Oryzias latipes: one gene and its partner. The protein of the gene in region 2 binds, or shares a complex with, the protein of the main gene of each other region. Links are inferred from orthologs where the notes say so. Each region holds a gene or a part of one and is shown on either strand. Other genes may lie near its edges.

The links.
Region 1: rbx1 (region 2) and klhl22 share a complex: the UniProt entries of both Homo sapiens proteins name them as parts of the BCR(KLHL22) E3 ubiquitin ligase complex. The link is inferred for Oryzias latipes from reciprocal best matches to the Homo sapiens genes RBX1 and KLHL22.

What each region holds. Positions count from the first base shown.
Region 1 is NC_019867.2:20,706,097-20,712,947, reverse strand, and holds the start of klhl22 (kelch-like protein 22), read right to left. Parts: upstream 4,626-6,851; 5' UTR 4,370-4,625; coding exon 4,313-4,369; intron 4,155-4,312; coding exon 3,865-4,154; intron 3,108-3,864; coding exon 2,942-3,107; intron 2,865-2,941; coding exon 2,541-2,864; intron 2,444-2,540; coding exon 2,034-2,443; intron 759-2,033; coding exon 566-758; intron 418-565; coding exon 184-417; intron 108-183; coding exon 1-107. UniProt on the Homo sapiens protein: Substrate-specific adapter of a BCR (BTB-CUL3-RBX1) E3 ubiquitin ligase complex required for chromosome alignment and localization of PLK1 at kinetochores.
Region 2 is NC_019866.2:19,407,935-19,414,656, forward strand, and holds rbx1 (E3 ubiquitin-protein ligase RBX1), read right to left. Parts: upstream 3,820-6,722; 5' UTR 3,584-3,819; coding exon 3,506-3,583; intron 2,505-3,505; coding exon 2,426-2,504; intron 2,276-2,425; coding exon 2,205-2,275; intron 2,063-2,204; coding exon 1,977-2,062; intron 1,868-1,976; coding exon 1,855-1,867; 3' UTR 1,690-1,854; downstream 1-1,689. Other genes in the region: st13 (hsc70-interacting protein), read left to right, coding at 89-177, 385-519; chondroadherin-like protein, read right to left, coding at 4,919-5,210, 5,353-5,519, 5,642-5,988, 6,071-6,407, 6,497-6,722. UniProt on the Homo sapiens protein: E3 ubiquitin ligase component of multiple cullin-RING-based E3 ubiquitin-protein ligase (CRLs) complexes which mediate the ubiquitination and subsequent proteasomal degradation of target proteins, including proteins involved in cell cycle progression, signal transduction, transcription and transcription-coupled nucleotide excision repair.

The DNA of each region.
Region 1 (6,851 bases), on a different chromosome or scaffold from region 2:
AGGACATAGATGCGGCAGTCGAGCACGGCGATGCCTGGCTCTCCATGTCCAGAGGGGAGAGGGGCAACTAAAGTCCAAGAGTTGGCTGCAGGATCAAAGCACGCCACCTAGAACAAACAAGTCACACTTTATGGGCATTCTATCCCGTATTGACACTACTGCCACTAATATAAGGGTTCATACTTTGTTGACATCCCGGCGATATCCACGCTCATGGTTACTACCCCCAATAACATATATGCGTCCATTGACTGCAGCCATGCCATGCCACGCCCGCTCCACTGGTCCCTCTGCACACACCGCCCAGTGATTGGCTGCAGGGTCAAAGCAGTATGTCTCTCTGAGGTACGCCATTCCTCGACGCCCACATGTTATGTATATTTTCCCATCCACCACTGCTCCTGCGTGGGCATACACCTGGAAGCAAAGCCCAATTGTATTTAATCGGGAGGAAAAAAAGACAGCATCAATCATTAATCTGGATTTTGTCAAGTTACTTAGTGGCTCCACCATGTGGTTTTTCATGGTACTGCACGTACTGCTTTTTCACCCTGACGGGCCTTACCTCTCTCTTCAGAGAAGAGACAAATTGCCACATGTTTGTGCTGGGGTCGTAGCGTTCCACTGAGTCCAGCTCACAGCTGTAGTCACGTCCCCCAATGGCGTAGATGTGACCCCCCACCACGCAAACACAGTGGTCAGCGTGTTGTTGCTGCAGAGGCTGAATGGAGGCCCAGCTGTTGTGACGTGGGTCATACCTGAGTGATGGACCATCAGAAAGAAAACACATTTGAACACCAGCAAAGATCTTTAAACAAACCAGATATGGAATCATCTCAAATCTGGGTTCTACTGAGAAACTCCTAATCAGTAAAGATTTAAGCCCATTTATATGGAAATGCGACATATTGATGTATTTCAGCGTTACAAGATTTTATAACTTTACATTTTAAAATAAAATGAGATTAAATGTTTAACTATAGCAACAAGTCAGACCTAAAATGAAATTACAACAGAGTTCATGGTGAAATATTTTCCAAAAGCTGCCAGCAGAATTAAGAGAAGAACACAGGATGTGCCATAAAATGAGTCCTGCTTTGGAGAAGGACCAAAAAAATTTAATTTAAATCCTGATGCAATGATGGAAGCTAAAAAGCCTCTCAATAAAATCCTGAAATAACAAACCATCCATTAGGAAAGCAGAAAATGTTTATTTGTGGAGTATACAGCTAAGCACTGCTGGTTCAAATAATTAAAAAATATGAGTAAATGACAAGTACATCATCAAAAAAGCTGTGAAAAGCTAAGGAGTTCAGATGACTTTTGCATCCACTGTAGCTTAAAATGTGAGGCAAGGAATGTTCGGTCCATTATAGCTAAAGCAAAAAAAAAAAAGTGTGACTCGATTTCTGCAAATGTTGATATATTATACACTGTTTCTTAAAAACAATTTAAAATACCTTTTTTTTAAACTATGCATATGTATGGAGTTCTCTACGAGGCATCAACAAAGCTTATTTATGCAAGAATACAAAGATACAAAAAATTAATCTTTTCAGTTTAGGAGGTGGATTTATCATTTTTGCATAATAGTTGAAATTATTATGTTCTTCTAATTAAACTGTCCACCAACATTCATTCATTCATCTTCTAAACCCGTTTTGTCCCTTTCGGGTTCACGGGGCTGCTGGAGCCTATCCTGGCCACTCGTGAGCGAAGGCAGGGGACATCCTGGACAGGTCGCCAGTCTGTCGTAGGATGCGTATCAACATTTCCATCTTTATTATATTGTGCATTGGGATATTTATATCATTATAGGGGTATAATTTATAACTGAATTGCCTACATACATGTTCATTTTTTTTGTATTTAACCTCTTGTCAATATTTGGAAATAAACTAAATTAGAAATGAAAATAAAAAATTAAATTCCAATTTTCAATAAGTAGTTGAAAAGATAAAAGGAGCCCCAAAATAATCACATCAAGAAACAACTGGATGGTTATGGCTGTAAATATCCAGACACAATCTCACCTCCAGCAGCAGTTTTCTGCACGAAATCCATTGGTGTTCTTATCTCCTCCAATGAGATAAACAAAATTGTTCAGGACAGCAACCCCCTGGTTAGACATTCGGGGAGACTGAGCTGAAGGCAGAGTCCTCCACTCCCCCCAGCTCGGGTGGAACACCTGAAACAGGTTTTTCTTGTCTGTGAGGGAGGTAGAGCTAAACATCCCCCCAAAACCCAGAATACAGTAGAGGGTGGAGCGGGGCTGCGTGAGAGGACTCTGCAGGACAGGCTGCCACAATTCCTGCTCATGGTACCGCAGCGCAGCTGAGACCGATTGCTTCAGAGGACACTGGTCCAGCCTGCTGTGCAGTCTCTGCAACACTCGTCTCTCAATGAGGCAGAACCGCACAGCTTCAAGCATCTTGAGGTTGTCCTTGAAGACAAAAAAACAGATAAAGGAGTTCAGATTCACTGAGTTCAAGTTAAGCAGATGCTTCACAACAAATAAGAATGAAGAAAAAAAAACACACCTTGAGACTGACCTGCAGATGCACCTTATCAGCTTCCACCTCCTCAGGACTAAAGTGAAAATAAAGAGCCGCCTCGTACACCTCGTTTTCACTGGTCACCTGAAGCTGGTCACTGCTCAGAGCTCTAAAGATCTCCTCTTCAGGGAGCTTTCGGTACACATCCATTCGAGACAAAGTTTGAATGTTGTTGAGGATGTAGGAGCGGACTCGGTCTTTCAACTGCTGCAGCTCAAAGAGATCCGCAAGCTGGAGCACCTCTAAAATGCTGCTGTCATCCAGCCAGGAGTAAAGGAAGTCACAGCAGAAGCCGATGACACTTTCAAGCTGAAACACAGAAAAAGAAAAATACGACTCATAAAAACAAACTGTTTTTTTTGAATGACTGGTTTGGACAAATCTACCTGCACCATGGTGGCAGCTATCAGGACTTCCTGGACACAATCCAGGTCTAATTCAATCTCTGCAGTGTAGATGTAGTCGAGTAGTTTCTTCATGGCCATGTGAGATACTCCGTGAATAAGAATCTCTTTCTGCTGCGTTTCCCGGAGGCCTCCGGCAAACATCCCCCTATAACAAGAGTCGTGGTTTAACCAGGTCACCCAGTCATGAAGGCACAGAGCACGTCGGAATCCTTTTTTCTCTCTTTTCCCTGCACCATTTTAAACTTTGAAATGTCTTTTTAAAAATGTCTGTGCATAAACCGATGGAGTAAAGTACTGTGTCTTGGCCACTTTCACACTGGGATTACACAGCTACTTATGAACAGCAAAGCTTGTGAGTTCACAGACTCAAAGCAAACTCCTGGGGATTTTTCCAAGTCAGAAAACTGCTCCATTAACAAAAACAGACATGTTAGAATAGAGGCTTGCATTCTTAAGGAAGTAACAGCGTACAACAAGGTCATGTGTTACTGTAGAGGGAGATGATTGACACATCATTTATCAGATTATGTTAAGAGTAATTTCAAGAAATATCATTAAACAGAAAAGCTTTTATTCTGACACAAAAATAAAGATGTCATTATTTTAACTTTCTGGTTTGTTGTTGTTTTGGGTGTACAAATAAAGTTATCCTAATTAATAAAGCTTTAAAAATACTTTACTTTAGGTTACTTTAAGTGAATGGTTAAGTGAACTGGCCTGTAATAAATACGAATCAGTCTAAATCTGGTTTATGAAGGAGTAATAGACAATAAAAAAATTATAATGTAGTTTAACATGGATTTAGAGAAAATTTTTGGGAAATATTCGACTAAACATCCCTGAAAAGCTCAAAATAGAAAATAAAAACAAATAAAAACAGGATTGACTGCTGCATCGTTTACCTGAAATAATCGCACGCGGCTGCCAGGAGGATGCGGTGGGCTTGGATGGGTCGACCCTCCACCACCAGGACGACGTCGAACAGGATCCCCATCTGTCTGAGCGACAGCAGGCCGTCCTGCAGGCTGCGAAAGTGGGCTGAACTCCTGAAGATCTGTCGGCCGGGACAGTCTGACGAGCCAGCGCGTCCTCCGACCGCACTCTTTGCTCCGTCCTCAGCCATGACAACACGCTGACCTTCGGGTTTCATCGCTTTTATCTGCCCGGTGCCAACATGACTTAGAGCTGATCCCTTAACGTGGTTTAAACAGAGCGGAACCGATAAACAGGAAGAGAATTAAGCAAAGCAGCTAGCGACCGAGGACGACAGCCTATTCGATTGATGACTGATTTAAAGAGGGCATAAACGTAAAGAATGTATTTAAAGGTTGTATTTTATATACACCTTACCGCCGACCAACTGCACTTGTTTTCCCGGGTGTTGTGCTCTGTTGCGTTAGCCGACATCACAGTTGACGACTAGCATGCTAGTAGTTGATTTAACGTACAACGAAATGATTAAAAAAGATACAGAGTCAGACGTTTTATAACTTTTTAAAATAACTTGAGTACAACGTTCAGAATGCCGTTCAGAGTATTTGAGTTTTGCTATTCAGGTTTGGTTATAATGAGACGAAATCCATTATAGAGTAGAAGTACCGCAGCTGCCTGATTTCCGACATATCAAAATAAGTCTGTTTACTTTTGTTGTCAGGCGGTGATCTGGAATTCTATTGGTCCCTGCATTTTTCTTGTCCCGCCTACTTTCTACGCTTAGCCAATCGTAAAGCAACAACATGGAACATGGATTGTTTCTACGGGATGCCATTTAGAAAGTTACACAGTCAAATATTAACAGCAACATTTTTGTTTTTTTATCCTGTTTTTTGAGAAAAATGTAGGTTTTATTTCTCAAATGCATATATTTACCTCTTAATTAATTTTTTATTAAAACGTGTTACATTTACTAACTAAAAATTTACTTAGGAATATAAATATTTTATCTAAAGCTTAATATATTTTATGATTACTGTATATATCAAATTTGATAAAAGTAAAAATGTATTTTGCAAGGAAATATTTGGATCTGGTCTAAATTCTTTTATCTAAACTATTTATTTAAACTATTTTATTTATTCCTTTAGTTTTTATTTTTTACAAATATTTATGCTTTTTACTAATTATTTAGTTTGGAGCTAAATATTTAACTCCAAACTAAATATTTAGCTAACATGTAATGAACTAGCTGATAAGCGGAAATGAACTGCCAAAATAAAAGTGGAATTTTGCTCTGTCTTTGAACTGACTCTCAGTTAAATTGTCTCCCTGTGCCTCTACTTGTGCTACACTCATTCAAGACATGTCCAACTGCTGGCCGAAAAAACTGGACCAGCCATTTTAAGGGCGAATTTTTTTGTGTAAATAGCCTTCTTCTCAGAGCACCACTGCACTTTTGAGACCTGTCAGTACAGCCACATCTGCTGGAATCCCCCACCACCCCCTTAACTCGAAGGGATCTTTTGCTTTTTAAATGTATTTGTATGATTGACACCAGAGATGGACTGGCAATCTGTTTACTTTTGTAGAGTCCACAATTGTTCCGTTTTGGTCCACAGCCTTCTGTCTGCTTCTTTAATCACAATCATCAAGTGCTTATTTCACATGCCACAGCAGGGGGCACTCATCAAATAATTTGAAATTATTTTAATTGAACAGTCTATGAACAGCCCCCATGTCAACTCCCCGTCGCCTCCTTATCTATCTGCCTTTAAAAGAAATAACAAAATTTTAATGCAGTTGTAAAGCCAGATACAACAGTCACTCTGTAACTTAGAGAAGCGGTATCCTCTCCCCTCATTTCTATGAAATCCTTGATTTCACAGAGAAAAAGCTAAGCAGAGGTTCTGCTCAGCAGAAATACAGTAATTTGTAACTTTGTATTCCGTTACCCCCAATACTGGGGGTACTGTTTGTGAATGAGTTGAATAAAGTTTGAGTTAGTTTATTTTACTTTTTTTGTTATTACTCACTTTCAACTTAATTTGTTAAACGTTCAAACAGAAACTGATAAAAACTAAAGTCTGTCTATTTCTTCTTTACCCAGATAGCCCTATTGTATGGAAGCGATTGTGTAGCATAATTAAAAAAATAAAAGTCAAAACCAGAAATGCTTTTTCATTTTCAAAATGAAGCTGCATTTGTTGACTCAAAATTAAAATGAAAAAGCAATTTGACAAAATGATTTTTCATTTTTTTATTCATCACCGCTTATATTTTGTCACTTAATTAAAATGATATAGAGAATAGTATTTGACATATCATTTTCAAAAAGTTCTTTGGTAAATGTGTTGCAAAGGTCATTTAGAAATGTCTAATTTGACAATTAAAATGGATTAACAGAAATGCTTTTTCATTTTCTAAATGTAACTGCATCAAATGACTCAAAATTAAAATGAAAAATCAACACTTCAAAGTGCTTTTTCCTTTTTTACTTAAAAAACGCTTATTTTGTGTAATAATTAAAACAAAAATTCAAAAAGGGGGATTGCATTTTCATTTTCACATCCACCTTGCGAATAGTATCTCATAATTCAATTCGACTTTGCATTTCCAGAGGGGAGGTGGGGCGATGACGTCAGTGCTTTCTCCGTGTGTCCGGCTGCTAAGAGATTCATGCTAGGAGCAGTGTAGCTTTGTGTTAGTGGCAGAGGAGAGGGCTTTGTGACGGCTGTGCACTCCTGATGATTGTACACAGCTTCTTAGGACTGCTAGCAGCCGGACACACGGAGATAGCAATGATGGTTGCATTGGGATTGGGTCCCACTGGGACCCAACGCAAATCTTGTGGGATTGGGCGGTTTGAATTGTGCTGTGGGCGGGAGCGGGCGGCAAAAAAAAACCCCCGCGGGAACAGTGTTGCCATGAATATCTCATGAATATATAATAGCGG
Region 2 (6,722 bases):
ATCCAGTGGATAGGCTCCTCCTCCATCCTACAATCCAGTCGATTGGACGTAACTGTGCTGGAGTATTTAAATCTCCTTGATGTTCCAGGTGCTGCCGGATTCCCAGGCGGAGGTCCAGCAGGTATGCCCGGTCTTGGTGACCTCCTGAAGGATCCTGAGGTGCTCAACGCCATGAAGGTAACTTAAGATGAACCAATTCTATCACATTCCCCCAAGGAAAAGCCTTAGTTCCATAAATGTGCAAAACACAGGAAACACAATTTAAACTTTGTATTAAAAATACACTGACGGAGAGTCTGAGAAAATTAAAACTGCAGCTGTTTTCTGCTCAGTTTTTGTGACTCCTGAAACACTCCAGTGAGGTTGACTTCTTTCTGACTCCAGGACCCTGAGGTGATGGCCGCCTTCCAGGATGTGGCTCAGAATCCGGCAAACATCTCCAAGTATCAGAACAACCCCAAAATCATGGCTCTCGCTTCCAAGCTGAGTTCCAAGTTCGGAGCCCCCCCCCAGCCATAGAAGTGGACTGGACCAAAACGGAGATGATGTTTGGAGGAGCGAGTGAAATTAAGCTTTTCAACATTTTCTCAGTGTGTTTAGTTCTATCAGGGGAGCAGGTCAAAGTGATGCAAATGTAACAGAAAGATGGAAAGTGTTTTTCACTGGTTTCTTTTTTTTTTTTAAATCTTCCTCAGTTTGTTAGCAACATCAACAAATCAAACAGATGGTTATGGGTCAGTCCTGGTATTTAGCTAAGCCCCTCCCTCCTCTCTGATGGGTCGCGGCTGTGATTTAACCTGCGACAGCAGCTCGGACAGTTCCTGCATGGAACCAACGCCTCTTTCTAGAGCCATTCTACACTCAGTAGGAAATTCCTGGTTGTGAGGCCGCACTCCAAAGCGTGGGTGCTGGTACATGCTGTTGTGAAAGGCTAACTGCAAATAACTTTAATATTCCTGTTGAAAAGTTCACAATAAAAATGTTGATGGAAAACAGCTTTAATCCTCTTTTCTACTTGCACTGATAAATGTACTTTAACTGTCAAATTCCCTAGCTTTTAACGGTTGTCTTCTATTAAAGTGAAAACTTTTCATGATGCCTAATCCATGCCAGCTTCTGCAGAGCAGCAGCAGTTCATTAGAAATTTACCTCCGAGTTGTGGGCGGGAGTGTTGGCATGGAGCAAACCCGCCCCATCCCCTCCCCGTTGTAAAGCGGGGCGCTTGTTGCCCACCACATGAATCTCATCACAAAGCTCTTTTTTTCATCTGAATATAGAATTACCGCTCATTGACTATCGCAGTTTACGTTTCAGTCTGTGTGGATATTTTTCATTGGAATCTTTTTTTTTTTTTTAATCGCAGGTTATTTTTGGAACGTAAATTTGAGCTTAGTTTTCTTTTATGCCCTTCATCAGAAAAAGGCACTAGAGCACGTTGAAAACACCAGAAAACAAGATTTTCATCAGAGTGGGTCTTTAGGAAGTATTCTGTCATGTGTGGAATTTAACAAATAGATGAAACTCATTTTTCTAACAGCTTCCACAATAAACTATGGTAAAGAGAAGTCAAACATTTTGGTGGTGATTTAATTTACACTGAAGATTCGTGTCCTTAAAGAGGGTTACTGCGCTGTCAACATCAATGTGATTTAAAGTCAACTGTATTAAAAAAACAAAAACACAAATGAAAGGTTAATTCCCAGTTTTTTTCCATTTATTATTTCAAACTTTTTACCTTACAAGCTCACCATTTAATTACAACATACTAAAACAAAAGTGTGGAAAATAATACAAGCCGCTGGGATTGAAGAAGCAGTGAAATTGATTCTTGCAGGAAGTGAGCGGCAGGCCGACTCAATGTCCATATCTGTGAAAACATGACAAACAGCTTAGCAATGTCTAAAGCAACAACTTTAAAGAAAATCGTACTTTCAGAAATGTAATCAATAAAACTACATGACATCAATCAAACTTACTTCTGAAACTCCCACTCTCTGTTATCAAGGGGACACACTTGTCTGGTTTTCAACCAGCGGGAAATACAATGGAAATGGAATGCATGCTAAAAGAAGACAAACAGGTGAAAAAGAAATTAGAAATGTTAAGGGCTTTAGCTCTAAATGCTCATATTGGTATCCATCATTTCATCTTCCAGAAAACACACAGATAATCTGAGTCTTCCATCAATTTAATTGGAAACTTACATTGCAGACCCCCCAGGCTACTGTGCATTCCTCTGAGGTTGCAGATGCTTGGTTGGCTTGACATTCTATGCCTGATCAAGAAAACATGCAACGTGTCACAGAAATCTAAACTTGTTGGGAGAAGAAGGGCTTGTAGAAGCTTAGAAGTACTCATTCTGCTAAAAGTTTGAAGTCAAAATGAAGACAGGAAGCTATCAGAGAATGCATTAAAGTGAACTCACAGAGATCCATGATGTGGTTTCTACAGATGGCGCAGTTATCCACAACAATGTCCCAGGCCCACAGCGCCACAGCATTCCACTGAGGGGGACAGAACAATCAGATGAGCACATGTTTAATCTATGTTACCCAGGATTATATACACCAGTTAAATGTTTTAGAACGTTCCAACGTTTCCAGACTTTTTTTTAACCATATCTAGCATAATGTCTTGTAATACTTTGAATGGAAAGGATCGAAAGAAATAAGCAACTGGAATTACAAAAAGAAAACAAAATATAGTTGTTAAACATGTCCACTGATCGGAATGTTAAAACATTTTAGGGAAATCAAAAATATTAGCATTTCCTTCCTGCCATTTTTGATAGACATGGCTGATATAAAGAACATGTTCCTGAATTATTTTCTTGTTTTTGGTCATCATGACACTTTTTTTCCCCCCATTTTAAAAATAGTTGACAGGAAAGATTTAGTGCTTCCTTTTACAGTAAAGATAAATATATCAAATTGCACCTGTCAGGTGCACAAATCAGATAAGCACTTTTAAGGGAATATATATATATATATATATATATATATATATATATATATATATATATATATATATATATATATATATATATATAAAACTTTATAGCAATAATCTAAAGAAATCGGTTAACATGTGAAATACACGAACAAAAATTTAAAATTAGAGAAAAAGATGATGTGCTGCTAGATCTTGAAACCTCAGCTTTATGCTAAGCTAAATTAGCATCCGAATAGCACAAAAATAAAACAAATATTAAAAGAATTAAGATTATAGCTCTCGTTACCATTTCAAAAACGCTGTTTTTCTGTTACGCTCGACTGAAGGTAATCTTGTAAATATCACAACATGGTCTAAGTTATGACATTATTTAGAAATGCACATTCATTTTCGTTAAGCAAGCTAACTTTATGCTAGGCAACATCGAACATGCTAATAGGAGTCGTTAACCAGCTAGAGGAGGTTAAAACAGACAGGGCTCCTTTGTTCTTCTTTTATATAGCAAACGTGTTTGACCAATCCAGAGTTGACCAGGTAATAAATAAAATCAGACCTTTTTAACTTCGAAGCGTTTCTTGCTTGAGCCACTGTTAGCACCACTCGGTGTGTCAACGTCCATCGCTGCTGCCATCTTGAAACGTCGTCTGTACAAAGCCGTCCGGATGTAGCAACAGTCTCAGTCGGTTAAGTTCATTAACTTAACCGACTGAGACGGGAAAGACGAAATAAAATAACAACCAAAACATGAATTTCATTTAAAAATTAAATAAATTAATTAATAAATAAGCACAACTTTAAAGAAGATAGTAAGTGATTCCATAGACGAGGGTGGAAGAAAAATCTCAGGTCCCACCGAGATTTGAACTCGGATCGCTGGATTCAGAGTCCAGAGTGCTAACCATTACACCATGGAACCATGTTGAAGCCACAGCCAAGAATTATTAAGGTACCATCAAGACACCGATCACACGTTCAATTCGAATATTGTTAGAATTCTATCTACTAAACAGGTTAACTACATTTTTGCAGCTTAACAATTTCTTTAAAAAGAAAAATTTAAAAACAGGAACTTCTTCATTCATCAAAACGGTGAATATAACGGGTTTTAAAAATTATTAGCATCCTGCCGTAAATGATTTAATGCTAAGTTAACTTACAGGCCTACTTTTTGTGTTCCGTGCTATTTATTATTTGAAAATAAAATAATTGACAGACACTTTAATGTTTGACGATTGTTGAGGTGAACAGGGGTTCCATAATATTTTCTATGTTCTTTTAAATATGCATTACAGGGGTTCTATTATATGTTGTATTTTCTTGTTATTATAATGGATTCTATTTTTGCATGTATATTGTACTGCACAAATATGCTTGATTCCTGCCCTCAGTAGCAGATAATATGTGACGAGGTCACCAGTAGGCCTGTTTTTGACTTGCAGTCTCTGCTTTCTTTCTGTACTGGAGTGTTTATGGAGCCATAACAGCTGCAATGCAGACTAGACAGAAACACACCATTCTACTGACGTATTTTGTATGTTTTCATCTTCCCTTACTTAATAATAAAAAACGCCTTTTTGCCTTGAGGACAGAGAGAGCGGACAGCCACAGAGCCTAACAGGTCATGTTTTTCCAACTCTCCGTTTTTGCAAAAGGTTTGAGAATTCATGCAAACTCTTGTGTCTTTTCGTTTCCCCAACTGCACATTTCATTTTTGGACGTCCTGAACCATCCGAATCCGCGAAGGCCGGACAGGAGGCCAACAGGATCAATAAACTTATATATTTTGTGACTTTTAATATTTTTTGAAAAGTTGTATTCTGTTGTTTAGAGTAGCTTTGCCTACAAAATATGAAGATAGTGCACACAACATGTTGTATGAAGCAGTTTTAATAAAAAAACAAAAAAGTTGAACTTTTTCCCAAACAAAACTCTTTGTAAAGAAACCACCAAAACATGATTCATTTTATTATAATGCCATCTTGTTCATGGTCTTTTTTGGAGTCCCAGATTTTTTTTGTAACCTTTTCTTAGATGATTTGCTTAGTTTCGACTTCGCAGGTCTAGTTTTCACTTTGGGGGGCTTCAAAGAACCTGGTTTGGTTATTGTAGAAAGTTTCGGCTCCCTGCTGCCCTCCTGCTTAATGGAGGCGTTTTCTGAGCAGGATGCGAAGACATTAATGTCTCTGACTTGCTGACCTCTGAGGTCAGGAGGGTTACCGCAAGTCGCTGTAACTTCAAATCTCACACTCTCCATCCACCTGAAACACAAAGATAGTACACAAAAACACAAAAAAAGTTATGTGAGCTTACTGACCGTACAATGTTACATTTGTGGGCTCTGATAATTGTTGAAAACTCCCCTTTTCTGATTCCAGCACCCTGGTAAGGACCCTCACTGACCTGCGTAGGGGCAGCAAAGCACAGTCGCACAGCAGAGGGTTGTCTCGCAGGTCCACCCCTTCCAGGCCTGTAAGTGGTCTCAGGTCAGGCAGCTCCTTCAGCTGGTTTCCCCTCACAGTCAGATGTCTAAGAGCTGAGCCCAGGTCCTGCAATGCATCTTCAGACATCTGGAAAAATTCAAAATACCAACCAATCACACAGTCTAAAATGAACTAATTGGAAAAATTAAAGATTGAATCAAATACTCCATTTGGATGAAAGAGGATCTTGGAGAACTAGAATCTCCTACCTTTTCCATTCCCATATGATCCATATAAAGCCTTTTCAGACTTTGGGATATGGGCTGGAATGCCTTTCGTCCAACCCTCAAAATAGGATTTTGAGATAAGCTGAGCTCCTCCAAGTTTGGGGTTTTGGTTAGAGCGGAAGTCGGCACCTCAGTCAGCCGGTTGGAATCCAGGTAAAGACATCCAATGGAAGCAGAGGTGAGAGCACCTCTGGCCATCACATTTGTGCTGTTATTACTCAAGGACAGTTCAGTGGGAGTTACAGAAGATAGCAAACCGGAAGGCTCTAGTTTGGAAATATTGTTACGCTCCAGGTGTAACACAAACAAATTTGGTAAAAGAGAGAGAGCTGTTAGGAGACACAGAAGCAGAATGTCAGTCAGTTCTCTTTATCTGTAGTAACAAAATACTTAAAGTGAGCTCACACTGACCGGATCCAGGGAACTGTGTCAGCTGGTTCCCTTCCAGGTGGAGATAGGTGAGATTTTGGATTCCAGCAAAGATCTTTGGATCCAACAATGTGAGGTTGTTGTCAGAGAGATACAAATAAAGCAGGCTGTTCATTCCCTGGAAGGCACCACCTTCAATTTCATGGATTCCACACGACTCTAAGTGAAGAGAAACTAATTTCCCAGTGCCTGGAAAGCTGAGGGCTGGAAGGTAGTGGAAGTGGTTTCCACGGAGTTCAAGGAGCTGCGTCTTTGCTGGGAAGCCTCTGGGAACTTTGGTGTGACCCTGGCCTTCACATGTAGCATGATGTGTTTCAATCTATGAGTCAAATATAAAAAAAGAAAAAACGTATTTGTAAAATGATTAAACTGTCAAGAGGTTATTCTGAGAAAAAAAAAACAACTTACATCACATTTACAGTTAGAAGGACATTTGACTCTCTGCTTGGGCTTGGCTGTGGCTGTGATGTTTCCTTTGTTTTCCTCCTTATTCTGCTCCTCCTCTTCCTCCTTCTCACCCAGGCTTTGACTCCCACCATGACAGCGTAGATCCGAAGAGGTCACTTCCTGCAGCAGCTCCTCAGACAGATGTGGGGGTTCAGTGCAGGCGCCCAGCAGCTTCACACCTTTGGCG